Linked DNA regions of Rattus norvegicus. The protein of the gene in region 6 interacts with the protein of the main gene of each other region in a pairwise test. Links are inferred from orthologs where the notes say so. Each region holds a gene or a part of one and is shown on either strand. Other genes may lie near its edges. The genes, in order: Zfp24, Hnrnpf, Zcchc10, Hnrnpul1, Atxn1 and Dzip3.

Evidence for each region.
Region 1: the proteins of Dzip3 (region 6) and Zfp24 interact in binary tests that used the Homo sapiens proteins (3 or more experiments, as listed by UniProt). The link is inferred for Rattus norvegicus from reciprocal best matches to the Homo sapiens genes DZIP3 and ZNF24.
Region 2: the proteins of Dzip3 (region 6) and Hnrnpf interact in binary tests that used the Homo sapiens proteins (3 or more experiments, as listed by UniProt). The two-hybrid records come from large-scale screens. The link is inferred for Rattus norvegicus from reciprocal best matches to the Homo sapiens genes DZIP3 and HNRNPF.
Region 3: the proteins of Dzip3 (region 6) and Zcchc10 interact in binary tests that used the Homo sapiens proteins (3 or more experiments, as listed by UniProt). The link is inferred for Rattus norvegicus from reciprocal best matches to the Homo sapiens genes DZIP3 and ZCCHC10.
Region 4: the proteins of Dzip3 (region 6) and Hnrnpul1 interact in binary tests that used the Homo sapiens proteins (3 or more experiments, as listed by UniProt). The link is inferred for Rattus norvegicus from reciprocal best matches to the Homo sapiens genes DZIP3 and HNRNPUL1.
Region 5: the proteins of Dzip3 (region 6) and Atxn1 interact in binary tests that used the Homo sapiens proteins (3 or more experiments, as listed by UniProt). The link is inferred for Rattus norvegicus from reciprocal best matches to the Homo sapiens genes DZIP3 and ATXN1.

Annotation. Positions count from the first base shown.
Region 1 is NC_086036.1:15,579,162-15,583,458, forward strand, and holds the start of Zfp24 (zinc finger protein 24), read right to left. Parts: upstream 2,801-4,297; 5' UTR 2,729-2,800; intron 2,675-2,728; exon of another isoform or gene 2,254-2,674; intron 240-2,253; 5' UTR 160-239; coding exon 1-159. UniProt on the Homo sapiens protein: Transcription factor required for myelination of differentiated oligodendrocytes. Required for the conversion of oligodendrocytes from the premyelinating to the myelinating state.
Region 2 is NC_086022.1:152,767,481-152,771,528, forward strand, and holds the start of Hnrnpf (heterogeneous nuclear ribonucleoprotein F), read left to right. Parts: upstream 1-1,248; 5' UTR 1,249-1,502; intron 1,503-2,983; 5' UTR 2,984-3,044; exon of another isoform or gene 3,045-4,048.
Region 3 is NC_086028.1:37,970,231-37,974,258, reverse strand, and holds the start of Zcchc10 (zinc finger CCHC domain-containing protein 10), read right to left. Parts: upstream 2,801-4,028; 5' UTR 2,791-2,800; coding exon 2,762-2,790; intron 1-2,761.
Region 4 is NC_086019.1:90,383,871-90,387,370, forward strand, and holds part of Hnrnpul1 (heterogeneous nuclear ribonucleoprotein U-like protein 1), read right to left. Parts: intron 2,786-3,500; coding exon 2,660-2,785; intron 264-2,659; coding exon of another isoform or gene 261-263; coding exon 107-260; intron 1-106.
Region 5 is NC_086035.1:18,942,387-18,946,568, reverse strand, and holds the start of Atxn1 (ataxin-1), read right to left. Parts: upstream 2,801-4,182; 5' UTR 2,608-2,800; intron 2,551-2,607; exon of another isoform or gene 2,397-2,550; intron 1,460-2,396; exon of another isoform or gene 1,318-1,459; intron 1,282-1,317; exon of another isoform or gene 1,080-1,281; intron 920-1,079; exon of another isoform or gene 1-919. UniProt on the Homo sapiens protein: Chromatin-binding factor that repress Notch signaling in the absence of Notch intracellular domain by acting as a CBF1 corepressor. Binds to the HEY promoter and might assist, along with NCOR2, RBPJ-mediated repression. Binds RNA in vitro.
Region 6 is NC_086029.1:65,284,745-65,288,989, reverse strand, and holds the start of Dzip3 (E3 ubiquitin-protein ligase DZIP3), read right to left. Parts: upstream 2,801-4,245; 5' UTR 2,636-2,800; intron 1-2,635. Other genes in the region: Cip2a (cellular inhibitor of PP2A), read left to right, coding at 3,122-3,223. UniProt on the Homo sapiens protein: E3 Ubiquitin ligase proteins mediate ubiquitination and subsequent proteasomal degradation of target proteins.

The DNA.
Region 1 (4,297 bases), on a different chromosome or scaffold from region 6:
CTGCCGGAAAATCTCCGGGTCAGGGAGATGGTTCCAGGAAATGCTCGATCCTTCTTCACCGTCAGGATCCTCCTCTAGTTTCACTCTCAGAATTTTTTCTTCTTCATCTGGATTTGGGATGATAAGTATTGAATCTTCTTCCACTGACTGGGCAGACATCCTGTTACAATACCTCCAAGAAAAGGCAACTGAGGCAAGGTACAGACCTCAGAAATACCCTGTTTTCCTCAAAAGTACTCCTAAGGTACAAGAAATAAAAAACACATAAATCACCAAGTACCCCATGATATTCGAAAAGCAGAAGGAAAAAAAAAGAGATACATTGCTTTACTTGATTAAAACTTGAAATCAATAACTTACACTGACTGAAAGTCTGCCATAGCTGGTAAACCACAGCCTATTTACCCTGCTGCCTGCTACACCATCCGTAGAGAAGTAGTGTAAACGTTTTAATGACTAAAAAAGTACAGAAATACTTCATGCTGAGAAAATATGATGTGTCTGTCTAGGACCAGCAAGGTTACTCATCTGGCAAAGGCCTGATGACTTGAGTCCAATGACCAACATGTACATAAGAGAAAAATTATTTCTGCAAGTCTGGTCTTCACAAGTGGGACAGACAGACACACACACAGAGACAGACAGACAAACACACACACAAGATGTAAAAATGTCTTTAAAAATGGTTTATGTACACTGTTTTTGCTTGCATGTATGTCTGTGTGAGGATGTCAGACCCCTTAGAACTGGAGTTAGAGACAGTTGTGAGCTGCCATGTGGGTGCTGGGAATTGAACTTGGGTCCTCTGGAAGAGCAGCCAGTGCTCTTAACCACTGAGCCATCTCTCCAGCCCCATTAATATGTTTACATTTTGTGTATATAAGTCATTAAATTTAATCGTGGTTTGGGCTATAATGTGGTAGAGTTGACAGTATTCAATGATTTCAGCTAAGATCTAAAACAATGTAATATTTACCAGCTTGCTCTTTTTAGGAAAAAAAAAAGATTGCTAATTTGTGACATATAGTCTACAAAGGGTAATTTAATAGCCTACAGTATCTGGGTAAGATGCAGTCTACCTCAGTGTTCTCCAAACGTCCTGAAGCTTGGGACTGGAGAGTTGGTTCAGCAGTTAAGAATGCATTCCCCTGCAGTGGACCCTGGTTTGTTTCCCTGAACCACAAACTCCTCTCTCTTCTCACCTCCTCAGGCACCAGGCAAACACACAGTGCAAATATACATAAAATAACAAACTAAGTATTCAGAACAGTAGGACACATAAAACATGTTTTTTGACATTTATTTCGTGTTGGAACACATCAGCACAGGTGTGGAGGTCAGGGGACATTAGTTCCCTCCTGCTATGTGCAATCTGGGATCTTGGGAACAAGCCCCCGACCTGATGAGGCACCCTACTTTTCATTTTTTGCAAACCTGGAGTAGGAAATAGATCAACCGTTCTCCCAGTTAGAATCCCCCAGAATGAGAGACTATCCTTACCCATCATGCTCTACTGCTGAGCTAATCCCCAGAATTGTCACAAATACTCTAATGTTTGTTTAGGAACTCCCTAAACTTAAAATATATGCGAAAAATGTTCACTAGTAGATAGGTATGCGCCCAAAAGCCCAACATTGTAGGCTTTACATGCAGAAGCAAGATTATGGTCATCCATGTGGCAAAGCCAACCTGGGCTATTAGATCTTGTCACAGACTTTCTTTTACACAGTTCAGTAACAGATCATATAACACTGGGGAAGGAACTATTTCACATAACATACAAATGTTACTCAGGCTTCCACCACACCATACATACATTTAAACTTACAGTGACAAGCTTCAACCACAGCAAATTCTATTAGGAAAAAGCACTCACAACTTCTCAGTGTACGGGAGTCTTTTCCCTGATGAAGCTTCCCCTAACTTTTCCTTTGGGGAAATCTGAGCTACTTTCTGATGCTTTTGGAATTTGCAAAATCATAGCCGTGCCACGGTTTACAGCACATAAAGAATAATAAGTTTACGGCTACTGTTTATTAGAGCCAAGAACTTAAGAGACAGAAACTTAAGAAAACCATATTGAAACCGATCAAGATGAAGACAAAAGATCAGAAAAGGCTGTCTCAAACTGACAGGTCATATAGACACTCAGGAGTGGGATGGCCTGATATCAAAATCTAAGTTCTTATTCCTGGACCCGATTCTATCAGCAATCAAGCATTTCTATGTGATAGAAACTGCTTTTTCTTTTACTTTGTACTGCACCAAGCTCGTGGGATGTGGAGGAACGCCGTCCGGCACTCGGCGGGATCCTGGTCTTCAGCGACCGCCCGCCTCACAGCGCTGAGCCCAGCCTGCCCCAGCAACTCGGACGTCCTCTTCCCAGCATTCACCAGGAAGGGCTGCAGAAGCCCCAGAACCACCCCGCCACACAGGACAGGCACTTCCGCCCGGGACCGGCGGGACTACAAATCCCAGCAGGTCGCGCGCGAGAACGGCCGGATCCCCCCTCGGCTTGAGCGTCTCCCAGAATCCTCCGCGAGCCGCTAGAGCCTCGAAATAGAACAAAACCGGCCCGTGGGGGAGGGGAAAGCAGGCCGGAGAGGATGCGGGCGCTGGAGGCTCTGCGGACCCCCGAAGTGCCGCAGGTCGCCGCCGCCCTTCCGCCGCCGCGGCCTTTTATGCGCACGCCCGGAATGCTGAGCGTCGCCGGCCTCTGGACCCTTACCTGAGCCCCCGCCTCCTCGAACCCTACCCCCGCGCGCTGCTGACCTCTGGCTCGGGACCCGCCACAGCCTCGTCGTCCCGGGCAGACGCTGCGCCGCCGCTTTCAGCCGCTTCCCACAAGCCCCCGGCGCGCACGGCTTCCGGTCCGCAGGACGGGGGGGGGGGCGGGAGGGAATGGGGAAGCCGAAGCCCGGAGTTGCCATGGGGACGCGCGGTGAGCGGGGGAGGTGCCGCTTGATGACAATGGCCGCATTGAGGCTGCGCTTGGCCTTGCGCCTCTCACTGAGTGACTGTTGCTCTCTGTTCCACTTTAGAGAAAGGAAAGGGGAGCAGGAGGAACGTGGGCGGCAGTTTCACAAGTGCCCGGTGCTCCTCGCCGGAGCCCTCTGGAGTAACTAGCTTACTCCAGAGTTCTGAAACGTTCTGAAAACGTGCCATGATCGTGTCAGGCACCGTCGCTGTACAATACGTGTAAATCGTTTTTCTTTACCCGCACATCTTTACTTATTGAGCCTTTGGCCCTGAAACAAGGTTTGCCTCTAAACATGCCCCAAACCATTGTCTTCCACTACTGTGTTTCAAAGATTATGACAGATTATCAAAGAAACAAGATAGTTGAGACCTTTGTCACAGAGAATTGCAGAATATACTCATGCTGGTTGTTTGATGCCAAAAAAAGAGCTGCAGTCATAATCACTTAGATTGCCTCATTTCCCTATTTAAAGTGGATTTCAGCTACCTCAACTACCTTGACATTAAATAATTGTTACGTTGTTCTGTAGGCCATCTCTGGTCTGTTGCCTGCCTTTGCCTTCTGACCATGCGTGACTTGGACTTATTGTACAGCCTCAGCCTCACTGACCAATGAACGCCCTTTCCTCCAGGTGGCCTCAAGATGCTTGTGGACACTCTGAGAAGTGATCGCATTACTTAGCTGTGCTTTGTTTGAAAGTCTTGTAAAAAGTTGGGTCCTCCCTGTCCCTAGTTTCAGGATGCTGGCTGGTACATAGAAAACTCAGTAAGCACACTTTGAATAAATGCATCAATTGTGGGCTGGTCACATTGCCTGCGGCCTTTGCTAGGTCACATGTCAAGTCTCGGAAATCGCACAAAAGAGCTCTGTTTTGGAAAAAGTCTTGTTAGAAGCAAAGGTCAAGTTTGCAGAACACTTAAAGGATCCTCAAGCCTTGCCCTATTGTCTCATTCAGAAGGGCCTCTGCAAAGTGTCCTGGGCCTCTGCAAAGTGTCCTCGGCCTCTGCTTGTTAGTGAATGAGAGAGCAGTAAACAAGCAGCTCACAGAATAGCAAGACTTCCCATTCCAGCCAGAGCTCACCTTCCCACAACCCCTGTAACTTTTCACTCTTCACTGTGAGGTTTTAGTACAGCCTTCCCCCATCTCCTGTTTGGCTGTAGACAGGATCCGGCTTGGCTGTTCTCTGCAACCTTTTTGTCTATTGTGATTCCGAAGAGCTAACTCAAAGCATACTTTGTTTTGTTTCTTTAAGAGATTTTATAGCAAGTTAATACTGAAAAACATAATAAACCCACTCAAGTAAAAAATGTGACATT
Region 2 (4,048 bases), on a different chromosome or scaffold from region 6:
AGTGCCTTGCCCCATTTTTTCTGGGCCCTCAAAAAAAAATGAGAAGTGACTGGATTATTTCAGAGGCCAATTGCTTTGAATTAAGATTTGTGGTTGCCTGTTGGGTGTAGATTTTATAAGGTTCATTTTTTAAAATATTTATTTAACGTATATGAGTACATTGTAGCTGTCTTGAGATACACCAGAATCTGTTAGAAATGGTTGTGAGCCACCGCGTGGTTGCTGGGAATTGAACTCAGTGCTCTTAACTGCTGAGCCATCTCTCCAGCCCCTATAAGGTTCATTTTTATACATATGGGCCAACTTAGGTTTAAAAGTCAAGCACTCCTTCCACTACGGCGATACTAGGGATCCAAACCTAGTCAGCCTCTAGGGCTCTGAGGGAACTCGAGTAGTCCCGGCAGGTCTCGAAATCAGCTTGGCTCTGCCTCCAGAGTGATGGTATTAAAAAAATGTATGTACCATACCGGTCATTAGTTTATGTAAAAAAATTTGAGACAAGGCTAAATGATGGGATTAAAGGCGTGCCGCCACCAAGTCGAGTCGGGAGTTTTTAAAAGTTAGGTTATCGTGGAGTCGGCGGGCAAATGAAAAAAGTGTAGAGTGTCTGCAGGTTTCCATTCTGTACTCCGAGTTGATTTGGTTTTACTTGGCTGAGTCTGTCAACGCTTCGTTGCATTCGCCTTTCCAACTGTAGCGGGTAGTCTGTACTTTGCTCAGGTGGCTCCTTTACCCAGAACTCAGCGAGGAGTCTTCCCCTTTCCTTTCCCTCCTTCCCCCACTTCCGGCGCCGGCCAAACCCACCGTTCGCGGGCCACACCTGCAGGCACGCTTTTCTCATTGGTGACATATTGGCGGGCCCGGCAGGGCACTTCCTCCTCTACACCCCGTGACCCGAGTCCGACTGCCGCTGTAGATCACGCGGCTGCTGCTTCCCGGACTCCGGACTCGAACGCCCGTCTCGGCGTGGTGAGCCCCGCTTCCCGCCCGAGCCCCAGGTTACCGGCTGCGTACTTGACCTGCTCACCTTAGAAGTTTCCCTCTTCGAGCTTTTCCACGCTTCGGCCTGCGCGAGTTCTTACTCCAGCCCTCTTCCCCGCCCTCTGGATCTTCCCCTCCCCCACCCTCCGAGGCTCAGGAGCCTCCCTTCCCCCCGCCCCCGCCCGGAAGCTCCCGCCCGAGCCCGCGCAAGCCCCGGGGCGGACCTTCCTGCCCGGCCGGCGCTCGCTGCGCGGCGCGGTCGACTACCGGGCGAAGGCCGCGGAGCAGCGTCACCTTGCCCTCCGCCCTGCTTCCCGCCAAAACGCTCGTCTCAAGGGGCTCCGCTTCCGCAAAAGCGTTTCCCCTGGTCATTTGAACTTCCATTTCAGGTTGAGAACAAAAAGAAGATGCACCTGGACTTTCCCCGGAGCCCTCTGCGTTTTTAAGGCGTCGGGTGGAGTTGGGGTTCGTAAGCCGCGTTCGTTATTGAAAATAGAAGTCACTTCTACCTTCCTCCCGTGGTAAGTTTCAGAGCAGAAAAAGGCAGCAGCTTTGAAGCCGCGGCTCTCCTGGTCTTAAGAGTAGAACTTTCTGAGTAAGAAAACCTGCCTGGATGCGCTCCCGGCGTTCCGGAGGTTAAAACTCATTTACAAAATGGAGGGAGGATGAGGGCGGGCTCCCAATGAAAACTCCGGCGACTTCCTGGAACACAAAGATGCATAGAGGAGGGTGCAGCAAGGCTCCCACCAAGCGGGCCTGAACAAAAGAACTAGGTGGGTGGCGCTTGAGCCGCCCTGTTTGTTCAGCCGATAAACTTAACTAGTCCAGGATTCAGAGGGCGCACCTCTTTTATCTTACCTGGATCTACCTGAAGGCAGTGAAAATCCAGTTTAACCAGTATCACTGACTGGGTAGCTTGTTAGAAAAAAGTCTCAGCCTGTTTGTTTATTTTAATAGTGCATTTTCTTTAGTGTTTAACTTGTGGAAATGTAGGCCTAGCCTGGCTATAGTATAGGAGTCAGTCGCCCAAAATGATGCAAATGGTTTCAGTAGCGTGTCTTGCAATTAAAATCAAATGTCTGGGTGTTCTAACAGTACTTACAAAGACCCGCCATGCCATCTTCTCTTTTACTGGGCATGTCTCCACAGTTCACATGTTCACGGGTCTCGTGCCAGTGGCTTAATGTAGGTCTAGCTGCTAGCTGCATGCAGTATAGTGTCTCCAGGGAGGCCCACAGGTATTGTCTACCACACTAGAAGTAAAAGGTTGGAAAAAGGGGATCGAGTCATTAGAATTTCATGGACAGGAATATGGTTGAAACTCATTAAAGTGAAGCCCTGTTTCAGGGTCTTTGAAACTATTTTCAAAATGGGTTTTTAGCACCGACACCCCAATATCTTGCATAATTTTGGAAAATGAGACAATGCAACTGCAGTTACCCCTATTTTAAGACAACAGGCAGAATAGCCTACCACATTTCCAAAACGAAGAATGCAGCATAATTTGTCATAGGATTCAACCCCTTTCCTCACCATTTGGGAGAAGCTTTGTCACATAGGTTATGATAAAGCAAAAGGCATTGGAGACCCTTCCCCACCTCCAGCATGGAGAAGATAAATAACAGGAGTGTTTTTTCATTTCCAGAGGAAATTCATGCTGGCCTGGATGCCTATGCTACTGAAAGGGTTGGAAGTCTTGGCATAAAGTGCCCACTAGATCCCTGCTCTATTTAAATTTTAAGTTTCTCCTACATTTAAACTAAGCTTAAATTAGTTCTGCTAAGTTGTTTGCTGATGTCCTCTACCCATGAAAAGATGAAATATAAATAACCAGGAAACCTAAATATGTTGGTCCTAGGGCTACAATGTATTTCTGGATTTGAGAAAGAAACTTAGCTTGCTCTGAGCCTAGCTCCCAGGAGGTCCCCTTCTGTACGATGATGAATGGAATCTGAGGCCACGAGACCAATCTTGGGTTTTGTGTTTGTTTTTATTTTTTAAGGAAAACTTGTTATCTTCCATTCTGTGTTTCCTACAGAAGGCATCTGTGGTGGTTCTTTAAGGTAAGCTACTAAAAGATACATTTAACTGTAAGACGATTAATTTGTTAAGCAAAGTTTAGTTTTCTTTGAAGAACTGTCAGTTTTAAATGCTTGGTGAGTTTACAGTTAAGTCAAACTAAAGAACTATGAACTTCTTGGGGGGGTGAGTAAAAGCAAGCTGTAGGTGTTGGTTGACATGTTACAGAAAAGAATGCTTTCTTCCCCTGTTGCTGAAACTGCTTATAAAGTACTTGTTCCTTATGCTTCTTACATGTTTTTAGCTTTGACTAAGCTGCTATACTCTGAAGGAAGGTGTTGACCCTAGGTGGACAGTAAATCCCTAGCTAATCCTTGACCTGCTGTGGTCTGTTCCCTCTGCTAAGGATGAAGTATTGGACAACAAAATTGTCCTAAGTAGGGTCCCAGTGTAGTTTTGAAGACCTTTTAAAACTACAGAGAAGGTTGTTATGAAAGTAGAAAGTCAGACTTATTGTGGGACGTGAGAAGATGTTATTGGAATGGTAGTTGCGCTTAGATAACCCAGAGGATTATCAAGGTTTAGCTGGACAAGGTTGGGCAGAGGATATTTGGGTGGAGAATTATTTGATGTGTCAAATCCTCCAGGGAACAGTGGGGAAATTAAAGGAACTAAGGAGTAAAAAAGAATGATGGATATAGATTAAGAATGTCTGTAGGATCCAAGGATTCTTTTAGTTCAGTCTCTGTTCTAATAACCAATGGGAAATAGGGCTTAGAAGTGGGGCATTGACATAATTGGGTTACAGTTGTTAGATAAATCTTAAGATTGTGATAGAGTAGCAGGGAGTGTAAGTGTTTTCATTAGAGTTAAGAGACGCTAGGAATATAGGAGTCAGGAATTTTGAACGAGTCCCTGTGGCAACACAAGGCTGCAATTCCATCTACCAGGAGGTGGTGAGGCAAAAGGTCTTAAGTTTATTATTATGGTCAGCCTAAGCAACTAGACACACAGTTGAATCATTTAAAAGTGGCTCAGAGGATTTATG
Region 3 (4,028 bases), on a different chromosome or scaffold from region 6:
TTGGAGAAACGGTTTAACAGTTAAGCACTTGCTGCTACTGCAAAGGATAAATGGTTTGGTTCCCAGATTCCATCCGGCGACTTATAACCATCTCTCCCTCCAGTTCCAAGGGGTCTGACACCCTCTTTTGACTTCCGAGGGCACCAGGGACACACATGCTGTAGAGATGACAAGCAGCCAAAGCACTCACACACATAAAATAGCTTTTAAAAAATGTTTCTAGGGGTTGGGGATTTAGCTCAGTGGTAGAGCGCTTGCCTAGCAAACGCAAGGCCCTGGGTTTGGTCCCCAGCTCCGAAAAAAAGAAAAAAAAAAATGTTTCTAAAGACTGGCACATAGAGAGGGATTGTCGGGCTTTGTGGTGAAACTTTTGCTTGGCGTACGTTACTCCTCGGTTCAGCCTTTGGAAATATTATATAAAGAAGAAAGTTAAGCTATTTTAAAGCTAGACACAGTGCACTCCTGTAATCCCAGGATCCTGAGGGGTGAGGCAGGACTGAGAACAGAGTGAAATGGAGATCTGTGGTAAACAAAACGGATGGGACAGGGAATATGATGGATGACCAGCCAGAAACCAAAAATACACAATGGAACTGTATACTAAATCTAAGAAAAATATTTAGCAAAGATGAAGATAAACCTGTTAAGAAAAGCAATACAGGCCTGGTGAGATGGCTCAGCGGTTAAGAGCACTGACTGCTCTCCCAGAGGTCCTGAGTTCAATTCCCAGCAATCACATGGTGACTCACAACCATCTGTAACAGGATCTGTTGCCTTCTTCTGGTGTGTGTGAATAAAGTGATTAAATAAATCTTAAAGAAAGGAAGAAAAAAAAAGAAAGAAAGAAAGAAAAGCAATACAAGTGTAGGCCTTTAATCCTACCACTCAGGAGGCTGAGGCAGGAGGATCTCTATGAGGTCAGCCTGGAGAAACCCTGTCTTGAAAAACCAAAAGGAGAAGCAATATGAAACAAGGAAAGACTCATGACTTTTTTTTTTAAAGATTTATTTATTTTATTTATATATTAGTACACTGTAGTTCTCTTCAGACACTTCAGAAGAGGGCATCAGATCCCATTACAGATGGTTGTGAGCCACCGTGTGGTTGCTGGGAATTGAACTCAGGACCTCTGGAAGAGCAGTCAGTGCTCTTAACCACTGAGCCACCTCTCCAGCCCGACTCATGACCTTTAAGTGGAAAACACTCCTTGTTTTTGTTTTTAAGACACGGTCTCTGTTGTCGACCTGGATGGCCTTGAATTCACAGTTCCACCTGCTTCTGCCTCCTGAGTGCTGGGCTTAAAAACGTAATCCACCAATATCTGGCCCAATATTCAGGTTTTTAATTAATAAATCATAGCTTAGGTCAGGAGCAAGAAAGTTCAAAGCATGCAGGTACTAGAGCCATAAACAGTGTTTTCCTTTCAGTTTCGTATGACTTTTGATAGGTTTCAGAAACACAACATGCCACCTCACAGGGCCATACAGAGTGGGTGTAACTGGAGGGTTTAGTTTTAAGATGAAGTCTTCCAGGCTGGACTCAAATTCACGTTCAATTACCCAGTCTCGGCCCCTTAAGTCGCTTACACCACTGAATGGGTAGCTACTGAGTTACTTTGTTTTTTCTTTTTGGAGACAAAGTCTTCCTATACAGTCGTGGCTAACCTGAAGTTTTGCTATGTAGACCAGGCTGGCTTTGACTCACAGTATTCCACCTGCTTTTGCTTCCCTAGCTCTGGGATTTAAAGGCATCTGCCACCAGGACTGATAGTTACTGAGATTCAAAAAAAAAGGTAAAAATATTTATTTAAGCTGGGCATGGTGGCACATGCCTTTAATCCCAGCACACAGAAGGCAGGCACCTATCTTGAGTTTGAGGTCAGCCTGGTCTACAGATATTCCAGGACAGCTAGGGCTACAAAGAGAAACCCTGTCCCTAAATCTCCCCCCACTTACCCCTAAATTCTAACAGACTCAAAGCAATTATACCACTGTCTATCTTTCCCCAAATCCTCAGGTGACTCTGTCCTTCCTATGGCTTTTAGTCTGTCTTCTTCAAATGTCACCCCTCCGCAGATGCGTTTCTAACCCAACTAACTTGAAACGGGCCTTTCCCTTTCCCCATTACAACCTCTTACTTCCTATAAAGCTTAATTTTGTTTTGTTTTTCGAGAGACAGGGCTTTTCTATGTACCCCTGGCTGTCTTGGAACTCACTCTGTAGACCAGGCTGGCTCCGAATTCAGAAATCCACTTGTCTCTGCCTCTTGACTGCTGGAAGCATCACCATCGTGGTGCTTCAACAAAGCTATTTAATCCACTAGCTGTACTTGTTTAGAGTACCAACAGGTTCCACAACAAAACTGTAAGCTGCGTGTCTTGAATACATTTTCTTCACACTGAAACTGTCAAGGAATGCTAGTACTAAAGTAATTACTGAGAAGACCGCAGAAAGTGAGACGGTAGATGGGAAATGAATAGGCATTTAAGTTAGGTTTGTTTCTAGGAAAGGCGATAAGAAGGAGGCGGGAAACGCAGCAGAGGGAAAAGTTTGGATCCTTGAAAGGGAAGATGTAGGACCGTGCATCCAGGCTACCCTTGACGTGTGGAACGGACAGAGGGACACAAACCACCCAGCGACCAGCTCTTGGATTCATTTCGGACTCCCTTCAGAACCCGCTCAGTCCCGCAACGGCACTGGCTACCGACCGGTGTCTGGACGCCCCCAGCCCTCCCGCAGACCCCACTACGCGTCTTACTCACGCTTGCCGCCGAGCTATAAGCCGATGCATGGGAGTCGCCATCTTGAAGCGGCCGGAGTCTGCCGCACGGGTTTTTGGGAAACTCAGACGGGTGGGCGGGCCCTTAACAACCTCTGAGGTTCTGGTCGGGGCCAGAGGAGCTCATCCCAGTAGAGGCGACTGGTGGCCTCTAGCTGGTTTGTTGTCTTTAATGCGGGTCTTGTGTTGAGTATGAATACGGCCTCGAAGGGTGATCGCAAACGAGGGATCTATATAGAGTAGGATTTTGTAGTATCAAAAATCCTGTAAGCATTTTGGAGACTGAGGCAAGAGGATTGCTACGTGTTCAAGGCCAACGTGGAAAAACATATAAGGCCCTAGCTCAAAAACAAAACAAAAAAGCCAGGCAATAATGGCCCGTATCTTTAATTCCAACACTTGCTGGGATTTACGGCCAGCCTCGCCTACACGGCAAGTTCCAGGAAAACTAAGGCTGCACGCAGAAACTCCGTCTTAAAAAGCAAAACACCAAAAGCCACAAGAAATTACAGGTGTCAACTTGATGACTGGATCACGCTGGTTTGTTTTGTTTTGTTTTTCCCTTCTGTGAAAGATCTGTGTAGAGGAGTTTTTAATCCAGCAATATGACTGTTCTGGAAAGGGATCATAACTGGCCGGAATACAGACACGTGTTCCAGGCCAGCATGGTACAGAGCAAGTTCCAGGTAAAGAAATTTAGAACCAGGTGTGGCAGCACATGCCTTTAATCCCAGCACTCAGGAGACAGAGGCATGCAGATCTCTGAGTTCTAGTCAGTTTGGTTGAATCAGTGGCTTGAGAGCAGGAGGGGTAGGGAGAGGGAAACAGAGACGGAGACAAGATGAGCGGGAGAGATGGAGAGACAGAGAGACAGAGACAGAGAGGGAGCGAGCAGTTTTACCAGGACAGTTTTACAGAGACAGGTTTCAGTCTGAAGACAGAATGAGTCAGAGAGAGAGAGGGACCAGAAGATTAGAACAGATTGCCAGAGTCAGTTTGAGGCCAAGTAGAGCAATTCTGTCAGAAGCTGAGAGAAGCAGGTTAATGCGTCAGCTCAGAGAGTTTAGGCTGAACCAACCAGCCAGAGTTCAGAAAGAACTAGAAAGGATGGGTTTATTCAGTAGCAAACCTCTGAGATGACAATTACATCTGGTGAATAAAAGATACATTCACAGCTCTGATGGGACCAGTATTGGCCTCACTGTTAGTATTATTAGATCTCTCTCTCTCTCTTTTAGATGTGTATGGAT
Region 4 (3,500 bases), on a different chromosome or scaffold from region 6:
TGGCAGCCAGTAAGGAAGGAATACTAGGGAAAAGAGAACTCCACTGTGCCCTACTCACTGAGCTTTTACTCAATGAGAACAAGTGAGTGCTGTCTCATGTACCCACCTTCGGTCCTCTCGGTGCTCGAAGTACCCACGGCCTCGATTCTCCTCAAAAGGCCTCTTTCGATTCTGGAACTGTGGCCTGTCTGTCTTGAGCTGCGAGGCTTCAGGGGGGAGGAAGCTGGGTGGGGCTTCCTGCTTCGTTTCTGTCTTCAGTTCTACTGTCAGACGCATCAGGATGGTCAAGATACTTGGAAAAACCCTCAGGTTCTCCTACCCCTGATGCTGGCAGGCTTGTGACTACAGTGAAGGGTTGAGCTCTAAGAGGCCTAGGAGTGAGCCAAGGAGGCCAGAATAATATGAGGCTGTGCGGGTGACAGTCTGCTGGCCAGGTGACACCCTTCCTTGAGATGGTGCCCTTCAACACCAAATACAGTCAAGATCCCCCAAATGACCCAAAGGTACAACAAGAGTCTTTGGCTAACGTTCTGTCAGTTCATGAATGCTGACAGTAACCTTGGCCTACACTGAGAGGGAGTGAGCCCTAAGAGACTATAAAGATCCTGTAAGGGGTTGGGGATTTAGCTCAGTGGTAGAGCGCTTGCCTAGGAAGCGCAAGGCCCTGGGTTCGGTCCCCAGCTCCGAAAAAAAGAAAAAAGAAAAAAAAATCCTGTAAACTCTGAGAAACAAGAGTTAAACTGTCCCCTACCCTCACCTCCACCTCCACCTCATTATTGCAGAGCTTCTTTCTGACAAAGGTAGGGAGGAAGTGAGATCAGCAGAGCACTGTGGGTCTACAGTAAACTCTTCTGGCTTCAGCCATTTTCTACAAAACCCAATTGGCCAAGTGGGCAGACCAGCTGTTCTGGCAGTCTGTTTCACCATACCACATCGAACAAGATGTTATGGTGGGATAACATACAGGACCTGAGAAAGCCCCAGTCAGACAGATCCCATGAATGGATGACCAAAAAAGAGCAAGCTGTGGACCCATGCTGCCCTACTTTCTGAGAGGGTGCTAAGAGGGCACCATCTCCACCTACTGATGCTGATGTGACTCACTCATATCTGCTCATCCCAGCGCTCGCTTCAAGTTACTCCCTAGCTTTGTCATATGGACACAATCCCTGAGGCAATTTCCCTGGTTTTCCAGGGCATAGATTGGGTTCAGTTATTTTGATGGCCGCCTCCATGACTTAAGCACAAGTCAGACTCAGAGGAGGTCACTGGTGCTGGGTACCAGTCAAATGACCCCACAGTCTGACACAAACCTACAGTTTAACTGACATTCCTTAATGTCCCTAGTCTCCCCTCTACACACACACAAACCAGAAAACAATAACTAACCCGGCAGGGGATTTTATTTTGTGAATGAAGCAGAATGGAATTGGACAGGATCAACTAGATTCATGAGCAAAGGCACTGGAGCTGGGAATAGTGATACACATGAGTAATCTAGGCATTTGGGAGACTCAAGCAGGAGGATCCCAAGATCTACAACAGTTTAGCACTATAGTGAGACCCTGACTCAAAAAAACAAAAACAAACAAACAAACAAAAACCCAACAACTTCTTTTTTGGAGCATTAACAGTTATGGGCCAGCCATTTTCAACAGCAGGATTTTCCCCCCTAAACAGATTTACATGCAAGAAAATTAAAGCTCATGTATCATGAACACTGGTCTGAGCCAGTTTCTTGGGTTTTAGCCTCCGTTTTGCCACCACACAACATGTCCTCACATAAGACGGGGAGAACCTATGTTTCCCTGCTTATAGAAAATGCTGTTCTGGGGCTGGAGAGATGGCTCAGCGGTTAAGAGCACCCGACTGCTCTTCCAGAGGTCATGAGTTCAATTCCCAGCAACCACATGGTGGCTCACAACCATCTGTAAAGAGATCTGATGCCCTCTTCTGGTGTATCTGAAGACAGCTACAGTGTACTTATATATAATAAATAAATAAATCTTTAAAAAAAAAAAAAAAGAAAATGCTGTTCTGAAATAATATAGGCATGTGCTTTAAAAATCCTGAGTTTAAATATACAGTATGAGGTTTATTTCAATCTTGAACTTCTCTGCTGCCCTTTCCAGCTGTATCTGGCTAAAGAACCCCTTTCCAATGAAAGACCCTTTCCTAGTCTGCTGGAGCATCATTTTCAGAACAGAGGCAACACCATACTGGATTCAGAAAGCTCTTTTTGGCTTCTGCATGGTAAGACTCTAAGGATAAAGCATTGGCACCCTGGTCTAAACTCTCCAGATGCTAGCACTAATACCTAGAAAGATACCAGAAATCCAGACTGTGTTACTTCTTCAAAACCAAACAGAACTAACTGGGAGGGAAAGGAGGCAGAAGGATCAAGACTACAAAGCCAGTCCCAGTTCCTTTTTGAGTTTAAGGCTAACTTGAACAACATAGTAAGGATGCTATCCCAAAAATAAACCAAAACAAAAATAAAACCCTGAATCCCAAATAGCATAAAATCTAAATCTCAGCCTAAACAAACAAACAAACCCACCTTGCCTGAAGGACAAAGGCCAGAAGAACTGCCCAAGAGAAAGACACAAGGTCTTAGATTCTGTTTCCATCAAGGAAGAAAGTGTGGGAGCCTTCCTACCTGGGCGATATGCTTGCTGTGGTGGCTCCATGTCTAGTGGTCTCCTATCATAGACAGACTCATTTTCTTGCTTGATGACCGGTGTCTCGTAGAATTGGTTCTGTCTGGTAATATTGTCCATGACATCTTAAGATTAAAAAACAAAAATCAGTTAGATTAATGCATTTGAAAGTACTCTTGTAACCAAGACATTGTCTTCACTCAGGTGAACAGACTATCAGAAGTCAGAAGTCCACCTTTAAATGGAAACCTATTTAGCAGTAGATTCCCCACTTCCTATGGCTATGTCTCTGTGTCTCAGAAGTCTACAAACAGATCCACGCCAGGCTCTGTAGAAACTGAATACATTAAACTGACTGAGGAAGAAGTCCTATGGGGAAAACAAGATTGTAAAGTCAAAGAAATAAGTCCAGCTTGATTTCTCTAAGCAATACATCTTTAGAGTAGCTTCTAATCTGGAACCTAAACTTAGAAAAACAGGAGTTACTCTAATGATGTACCATTCATTGAGTAGTTAACACTAGTCTCTAAAGTGAATTGCTTAGAATTGACTTCAGGGCCCCGTCTTCAAAACTTGGAGCACAAACCAGTTCTCTGAACAGTTCCACTCGTCTGTGACTTAAAATACTCCTGCCTGCCCCTGCCTTTAGATGTGCTTATGATTGCCAGCACAGGCAATGCAGTGTACAAACCTTGGGATCATAATGGCCTCCAGACTCACTAGGAATAGGTCCCCAAACAGCTGGAGCTAGAAGTGGTTAGGAAAAGTGTTCTGTGGGATCAGGAGGTGACGAAGAGGTATAAGAATAGCAATAGTAACTACTTATGGAATGCATGCCAT
Region 5 (4,182 bases), on a different chromosome or scaffold from region 6:
CACTTATTTGCAAAGCTGCTAAAATATTGACTGATGCGTGGCCAGTTAGAGGACAATCAGAGGAGATTAAATGCCACAGTTAAGCTGTTATGGTGCAATCCCTTTCCAAGAGGGCTTGTGCATGTTTTTCCTCTCTCTGGTGGCTACCTCTAGCTTCCGCTGGCATAAGCTTCATTCAAAAATAAAATAAAAATAAAAATAAAACCCTCGGCTATCAAACTGTCTCAGCTACCCACCCACCATCAATAAACCAGAGGTTTAGGCTTAACGAGGGCTTCTAGGAATGACAGGGCTCTTCAAAAAGCCACACAGAAATGGTTTAGCAAACACTCTTGCAAAAAGTAACCAGCTGTACCTAAAAATACCCAGCCTGTAACTACCTTGTTGCCTACGATCTATAGCAATGCTGTTTAAATATTAAGAAGAGCTCGCATTATAAAACAGAAATGTCACTGAGATGACACCACTAGATTGCTACAGGGAAACATAGGACATACACACATTCCCCTGCATGCCAGGCAGGATGTGAGGTGAGAGCTCTAAAGCATTACTTTTTCTTCTGTAGGTGGTGTGGGGTCTTCTAATTTTACTAATTGTATCCTGTGACTCTCTCTCTGACAAACTAAGAAATCTCTTCGGGGACAGAACCAGTTTGGAGGAGTTCCTACTGCACAACATACGGTAAACAAAATAAAAATAGCTTGCCTTTCTTGTTAGCCACATAGCGCATTATATAACCAGCTTCCGACTGGCTCTTTTTTTTTCCGCCCTTACTACTCTTCAACAATTTCCCAACCTTCCCAAGTATTTATATTACCCTCTTATCTGTAGGATTATACAGCAAGAAAGCAAAAACAAAACAGGACAGCCACGGGATCGAACTAAACCCTTTCGTCTTAGAACCCTGATTCTCCCACCCCGCCCCCCACCCCCACCCGGCGCCCCTGGTAGAGTCTAGACCAGCACCCTACTTCCACCCCCCACCACTAAGGTCCTTGCTCAATCTCTCTAGAAAACCTGAATTGTTTCACCGCTTGCAGTCAGCTCTCTACGTGGTCTGAAATAAAATGAAAGCTCACAAGCCACAGAGTTGAAGGAGGTGGCTAAAGAGAGGTCGAAGGGCTGCAGAGTCAGCTAAGGGACCACTGTGGACCCCACTCCCCATCGCGATGGTCCTGGCCCCCCGCCCGGCGCGCGAACACACGCGCACGCACACACACACACACACACACACACACACACACACACACACACACACACACACACGCACCTACACACTCACACGCACTTACTCCCTGCTCTCCGACCCCGCCTCACCTCTCGCTCCGCCCGTCCGGCCCCTTCCCTACCCCCTGCGGGACTGGCCTGCGCGCTCGGCTGCAACCACGTAGGAGGCGGCGGCGGCGGCGGCAGCCCGGGCAGTGGCGGCGTCTCGGGCCCCGAGTGAACGAGCCGCGGGGCTCCGGGGCACATCCCAATCCCCGCAGCGCCTCCTCCGCCGCCGCCTCCTCCTTCCCCTCCTCCCGTCTTCATTCACCCTCCCTGCCGCCGCGCAGGAGAGCAGTCCCGGCGCAGGGCAGCGCCCGCAGCTCCTCCGCTACTGCCGCGGGCGCCGGCAGGGACGCCGGGCCGAGCTGGGGCGCTCGCGGGCTCCCGGCTCCCGGCTCCCGGCTCCAGCTCCGGTGGCGGCGGCTGCCGCTGCTGCTGCTGCTGCTTTGGATCAGGAAGCGGCCGCACCAACAGGGCGGCGGTGGCGGCTGCAGCTAGGGCCGGTCCCTGTCGCCTCTCCCACTGCGCTGCGATGGCCCGCGTGCCCTTGCCCCCTGAGCCGCCACCTCTCCGCGCCCCCGAGCCTCCTGCAAGTCCCCTCTAGGTCCCCTCCTGGCCCCGAGACGCTGGCCTGGGCGGGGAGACCCCAAGCTCGGGGTTGCCTCTCTCAAGCTAGGCGACCCCGGGCGGGGAAGCCCAGCCCTCCCTCGAGCCCCCGCAGCGCTCGCCGCCCCCACTCGGGAGGGGGGCTGTTGAGGAGTGAAGAGGGCAGCGCGACCCTCCGCGGCTGCCGCCTCCCCCTACGCCACACGGAAGGAGGAGGACGGGGCTCTATGCGCTCGCCGCCGCCGGACCAGCAGCAGCCGGAGCGGGGCGCCGCCGTTCTCCCCACCCGCGCCCCCCGCCCGGGCGCGCCCCCTCTCCTGGCGGCCGCCCACCCAGCCCCTAGCTGCTCCCCTTGCTAGCCGCTCCTGCTCCCAGTGGGGGTCCCGAGCCGGGAGGCAGGAGCCGGGCACTGGTGTATGTACACAGTCACACATACACTCGCGCGCGCCTGCACACACACCACACACACACACACACACACACACACACACACACACACACACACACACACACACACACACCACGACGCGTCGGTTTCCTTCGCTCCTCTTCCAGCTGTTTTCCGTGCAGCCCATTGAGACTGGGGGAGGGGGGTTTTATGCTGGATGTTTCTTTGGCCCCCTCTCCGGAGAGAGCGGATTGGGGTGCGGGAGGAGGTGATTTTAATCTAAATCGGGGGGAGGGGGAGGGGGGAGAGAAAGAATCAGAGGAGGAAAAAAAATAGCCACTTACTGTAAAGTGTAAATGGATCTGGGGTTGCGTGGGGAAGGGGGAACAGAGGGAGAGACACAGTGTCCTGCGGCTGTTGTAGCTCTAGCTGCGGCTCCACGGGGCTTGTTTTGGATCCCCCTGCAGTGAAACAGGTCCTGTACGGCTCCTCCACTGTAGTAGAAATGATGTCTGCGGTATACTCTGCTCTCTCCTCCTCCTCCTCCTCCCCCCTCCCCTCCCTCCTCCCTCCGCCCGCCCTCCCTCCCTCGCGCTCTCTCTCGCGCTCGCTCGCTCGCTCCAGTATGTAAATGTGTAATAGAAGCCAAATATGGAGCAGTTGGCTGCCGCCGCCGCAGCTCAAGGATCCGACTTCATGGGGGGGGGGGGGGGGAGAGGCACCCTCTGGCAGGCGGCCCGGCGAGCCGCACAGAGCACGGCGAGCGCACGGCGCGGCTGCCGGCCCGCGCCCTTAACCCTTCTATGCACCCGGGCTGGGGCAGCGCTCGCTCCAGGGGAGGCCGGGTGTCTCTCCGCAACTGCGACTCCAGATCCCGGACACCGACCGGAGGGAACTGTGCCTTCCAGGTTTGAGAAAGGGGCGGGGAAGTTGGGGCGATGAGGTCATTGGAGTGGTGACCGATCGGTGCTCGCGCGCCTCCCCGGCTCCCTGCAACCTAGTTGGAGGGGGACAGGGTGAGTGCAGGGTGCAACTCAGGCAACCTGGGAGACTCAGAGCAACGGGTGTCAGGCTTTGACTCCCACCTGGTAAAATACCCAAGGGGGCGGGGAAGTCGGCTGATTCTAATTACGAAGCACCCAGGGTGCCCCTGGTGAGCATCTAAGAGGACTCTTTGTATCCCCGCGGTTAACTAGCCAGCCCGCCAGTCCTGAGCCACCCGATGCTAGGCCGGTGCCTTCTGCCTTGGCTTGCAACTCCGGAAAGTTCTCAGGCTTCCCCAGCTTGCACCGGCACCCTCACCTTTCCTGCCTGGACAAGCTGGCGACCTCCTGGGCCTCCTTTCAAATTCTGCTGGTCTAGAAATCTGCTATGAGCATCGAACGTCTCAGCTCTAGCCCTGGTAACCGAACTGCTGCTCACTCCTCACAGCTAACTGTGGACCATTCATCTCATCTCAAGTGAGGTAACCCGTGCACTGAGCAGTGGATGGTGGTTCTCGGGAATCCAAGGCGAAAGAACTTCCCACCTTGGCCCGGTGGCTAAACGCAGACGCGGAGTCCCCACCCGCCCCCTCCGGCTACACCTCAGCCGGGTGTGAGCTCCGTGGGAAGGAATCTTCTCCGGAGGAGTGCACCTTGCCAACAGGTGTGGCATCCGAAGGAAGAGCCCGCACCTCCCCAGGAGGGTCGCTCGGTGTGGCGATCTCTTTGCTGCAGATAATTCTTGAAGACCAGTAGGTGTCAGGCCAGCATCTGACCTCTTTCAGGTGCTTAAAACTAAGAGTCTGGAAACTTGATCCCTTGGTCTCGCTGGAAGCCACTACTATTGACTGTAGCTGGATTTGAGAGACCTTTTGGCTCAGTTTACGTAGGACCTAACAGTTAGTCACTATCTGAAGCAGCGTACAGAGTCACCGA
Region 6 (4,245 bases):
AGCAAGCACTATTTCTTTCATGCTTCTTTCCTGCATTATAAATTCAAGAGACTAGGCAAAACGTAAACCACAGACAGTAATAAAATCTTAAGGAAGGATTTTATGCTAATCCTTGAAGAATGAGTAAACTGGCTTTCATCTAGAATGTATTCCTAGTAACATTCTATTGTTCCTAGTAACACTTAACTCCCCGACAGACTTCAACCTCTGTCCAGGCTAGTTTTTATGTCAACCTAGAGTCATGTGAAAAGGACCTCAGTTGAGTCTCTGAAAGACTGGACACTAGACAATCCTATAAGGTAGCTTCTTAATTAGTGACTTCTGTGAGAGGGCTCAGGCTGAAAAAGCCACAATTAGCAAACCAGTAAGCAGCACCATCCCATGGCCCCTTCATCTGGTTTTCCTCAATGGTCTGTGATTCGAAATGCATAAGCCAAATAAATCCTTGCCCTCCCAAGTAGTTTTTGGTCTTGGTGTTTCATCGGAGCAATAGAAACCTTAACTAAGACAAACCCTTTGAAATATTTGATGAATACTTAGCTTGTTAATATGATTTTACATATTTTAACACAAAATAAAAGACCATTGCTTTAGCGAGTGTCTTTAAAAATTCTTGACATAAAATATTGAAAACACACTATAAGCTGATATAACAGAACATGCTAGGTATCCCAGCACTTTCAAGAGATAGGAAATACAGAAGAGTCCAAAATCATTCCTGAGTAAGTAGTGAGTCCAAGGCCACCTAGGCTACATGAGATTCAATCTCAAAAAAACCACATATATCTTCATACATACACCTATAGAAATGTACTACACGTCCAATTTTTACAAAACGGAAAAAGAACAAGTAATGACTGTGTGTATATCATAATTAACAAAGACAAAAACAAAAACCCTGGTAATTCTGGAACAAAAAAAGTATTAACAAAATGCAAGATAGTGCCTGTAAAGTTAGTAAAAATCAATAAAGTCCTCAAAAGCAGAACAAAGGAAACTAGAGTCAAAATGGAAATCTAAAATTATAAGAGACTGAGGGAATAATAAATATAACTTTATATCAATAAAAATTTAAATATGGAGAAAGAGTTGACATTTTTCAAATGTAGTCTACAAGGGTTTAGAAAACCAGAAATCAACACTTGCTATTCTATTGATGCAAGTTCTATTAATATACAAGCTATGAAGCTTAATTTTACAGGTAATTTTGTTTCCTAATTCCATGCCATTAAAAACAGGTGAAACTAATTTAAGCTCCACCTGGCACACATCAAAGTATTTCCTCAAGACTCTGTGTGTGTGTGTGTGTGTGTGTGTGTGTGTGTGTGTGTGTGTGTGTGTGTGTGTGTGTGTGTGTGTGTGAGAGAGAGAGAGAGAGAGAACGAGAGAACACACGAGAGAGAACACACGAGAGAGAGAGAGAGAGAGAGAGAGAAAGAGAAAGTGAGAGAGAGAGAAAGAGAGAGAGAGAAAGAGAGAGAGAGAGAGAGAGAGAGAGAGAGAGAGAGAGAGAGAGAGAGCGCGAGCACACAATTTTCCAGTGAGGTCTATTCTGACCTTTTCTTTTCCTGTTCTGATCACCATTATTCTAGATTGTTTTTTTCTCCTTGGCTTATTACAGTCTTATCACTAGATTGTTAAACCCAATGTCCACAGACTAAGTATATAGTGACCAGAACGGTGTCCATTCCAGTGTGGAAGCTCAAATAAGAATTGATTGAATAAACTATCATGTAAAACAGACTACTCTTAGTTTTCACTTCACGGAAAGATTGAAGCGGTAAAATGAGACACAAAGAGAAAGATGCAAAAATATTTATAGGCAAACTGGCTCTACGTTTTATTGATGATGCATTTCTCGTTTATTAGTGAGTTACAACAGTACTTTTCAATTTAGACTATTATTAGATGGTTGCTTCTCTGCAGGCAGCACATCCTCATCTTTGTTCTGAGTGACAGTCAATCCCTAGTCCGTTATATGTAGTTGTTTAAAATGGAATGAACGAATGCACGAATGAATACATTAGCTACAAATTCTTACGTGAACATCTCAACAGCACAATCATTTTCAGTCATCAGTTAGCTTTACTTTTATTGCTTCATATCAAAATTGGTGACGTCTTTAAAGGGTACCCATGCAAACGAGAAAGAAAAAAAAAAGCGTTTCCCAAATTCACACATTTCAGACGTTCTTAGTCAAATGGGCATGTAGTATATTCCACAACCTAGCTTAAGCTCCTAAACCAGTTGCTGACTCACTTCGTTATATATCCGTGCACAGTACCTTTGATTAAAAAAAAAAATCTCAACCGTGTCACTTTTTTTTTTTTTTTGACGCCACAGAAATGTGCAAAATAATCATGCCAGACAAGAACAAACCCCTTATCCTATAGAAATCAACGCTGATGCGAATGAACACATTCGGGAGCAACTCCGGGGTGCTCTCTCTCTCTCTGTCGAGTCTTGAGAAATCGTATTGTAAAGCCACGGCTAACTTGTCACGGGAACCGGGCCGCCACAGGCTTCACCCCGTGCAAGTCGTCTGTGGACACAAGGGACCGGTGCTGGAGAGCCTGAGGCCCCTCCCCCGCCGCGACAAACCTAAGCCCCACAGATACTGCTCTGAGTTCCTCACCGTGTCTAGACTAGGGGGAAGCGACCGTGTCTCGGGCTGAGGCTGAGGCACAGACGGAAAGCAGACCCCGCAGCGCAAAGGCCGAGGAAAGGCCCGGGGAACAGAGCCCGCGCGGCCCAGGGACCCCCGTGCATCCCAGAGGCCCTCCACAGGTTGAGCAGCACTAGCGTGTCTCGCGAGATCCCGCGTCTTCGCGGACCTCCAGCTGAAACCTCGCGGCCTCTCGGCCGAAGGGGGCTGCGGAGGTGGGGCGGGGGGCGGCTCCCAGCCACCTTCCCGCAACCCCAGCGCCTTGAACCTAGGCCCACCCTGCCAATCACAGGCAGCAGTCCCGGAGACAGCTCAGGGACTTCCGGAGTCCGACCGGAACAGGAAGCAGCCGGGTGCGGGAGGGGTGGAGCTTAAAAAAATCAAAAAAAGCGCGGCGACAGCTGGATACCGAGGCGAGCTGCTGGGCTGTTGTCGCTGACAGTCCAGCCCGTCGGCATGGATTCCACCGCCTGCTTGAAGTCCCTGCTCCTGAGCATCAGTCAGTACAAAGCCGTTAAGTCGGAGGCGAACGCCACTCAGCTTCTGAGGCACTTGGAGGTAAGGAGTTTTGGGGCGCGAGTGGGTGTCCCCTTCAGTAATCCCGTTATTGTTGGGCTGGCTAGTGGCGGTCTGGCCCTGGACAGCCCTGCAGCCGCTTCGCTGTCCTTGCACTGGTGATGCTGTGCGCTTCGGGTGAGTGCCAGGAGGGGACTGTGGTCTTGACCCGAACTAGGAGGCTTCAGGGTGCAAGCGATCGCAGTGTTTGTGTGCGTGTGTGTGACTGATCTTTTTTAAGGTGCTGATCACTGTATGTGTGCGTGTGTGTGTTTTACTGATCTTTTTAAGGTGCTGTATTAGTCAGGATTCTCTAGAGTCACCGAACTTATGGACTATCCCCGTACATTAAGGGGATTTATTGTAATGACTTTAAGTCTGCACTCCAACTAACCCAACAATGGGGAGCTGTGGATGGGAAGTCCGAGAATCTCATAGTTGTACACTCCCACGAGTGTTTGTTTCAGCTGGTCTTCCGTATAAACTGGAATCCTGAAGAAGTAGGTTCCAACTAGCAAGTTAAGCAGGCAAAGAAGAGTGAGGCTTCCATTTTCCGTTGTCCTTATGTAGGCCTCCAGTGAAAGGTATAGACCATAAAGGTATGTACCATCACACCTGGATTTGCAACTCGCTCTTTCCTGGCTGGCCTTGAACTCAGGAGATTTACCTCAATCTGGGCCTACGCTTTTCATGGCTGCTATGCCTCAAGATCTGGATCAAAAGCATATCAAAAGCATGTCATCCCATGTCGATTTCTGGCTCTGAAGACTGTGTCTTCCAGCCTCCAGATCTGGGCAGGTGTGCCCTCCATTTCTGGATTGTAGTTCATTCCAGATGTAGTCTAGATGACAACTGGGAATGGCTGTCACAAGTGCCTATCTTCTAAGTCCATTTGGTTGCTTTTGCTGAGTATTGAGCAATCAGGGCAATTCATTCAGGTTACATGTACTAACAGGACTCCTATTTATATTATGTGTAGGTACAATTATGTAAGTATTCCACAGATCCAAAAATCGTTTGTATTT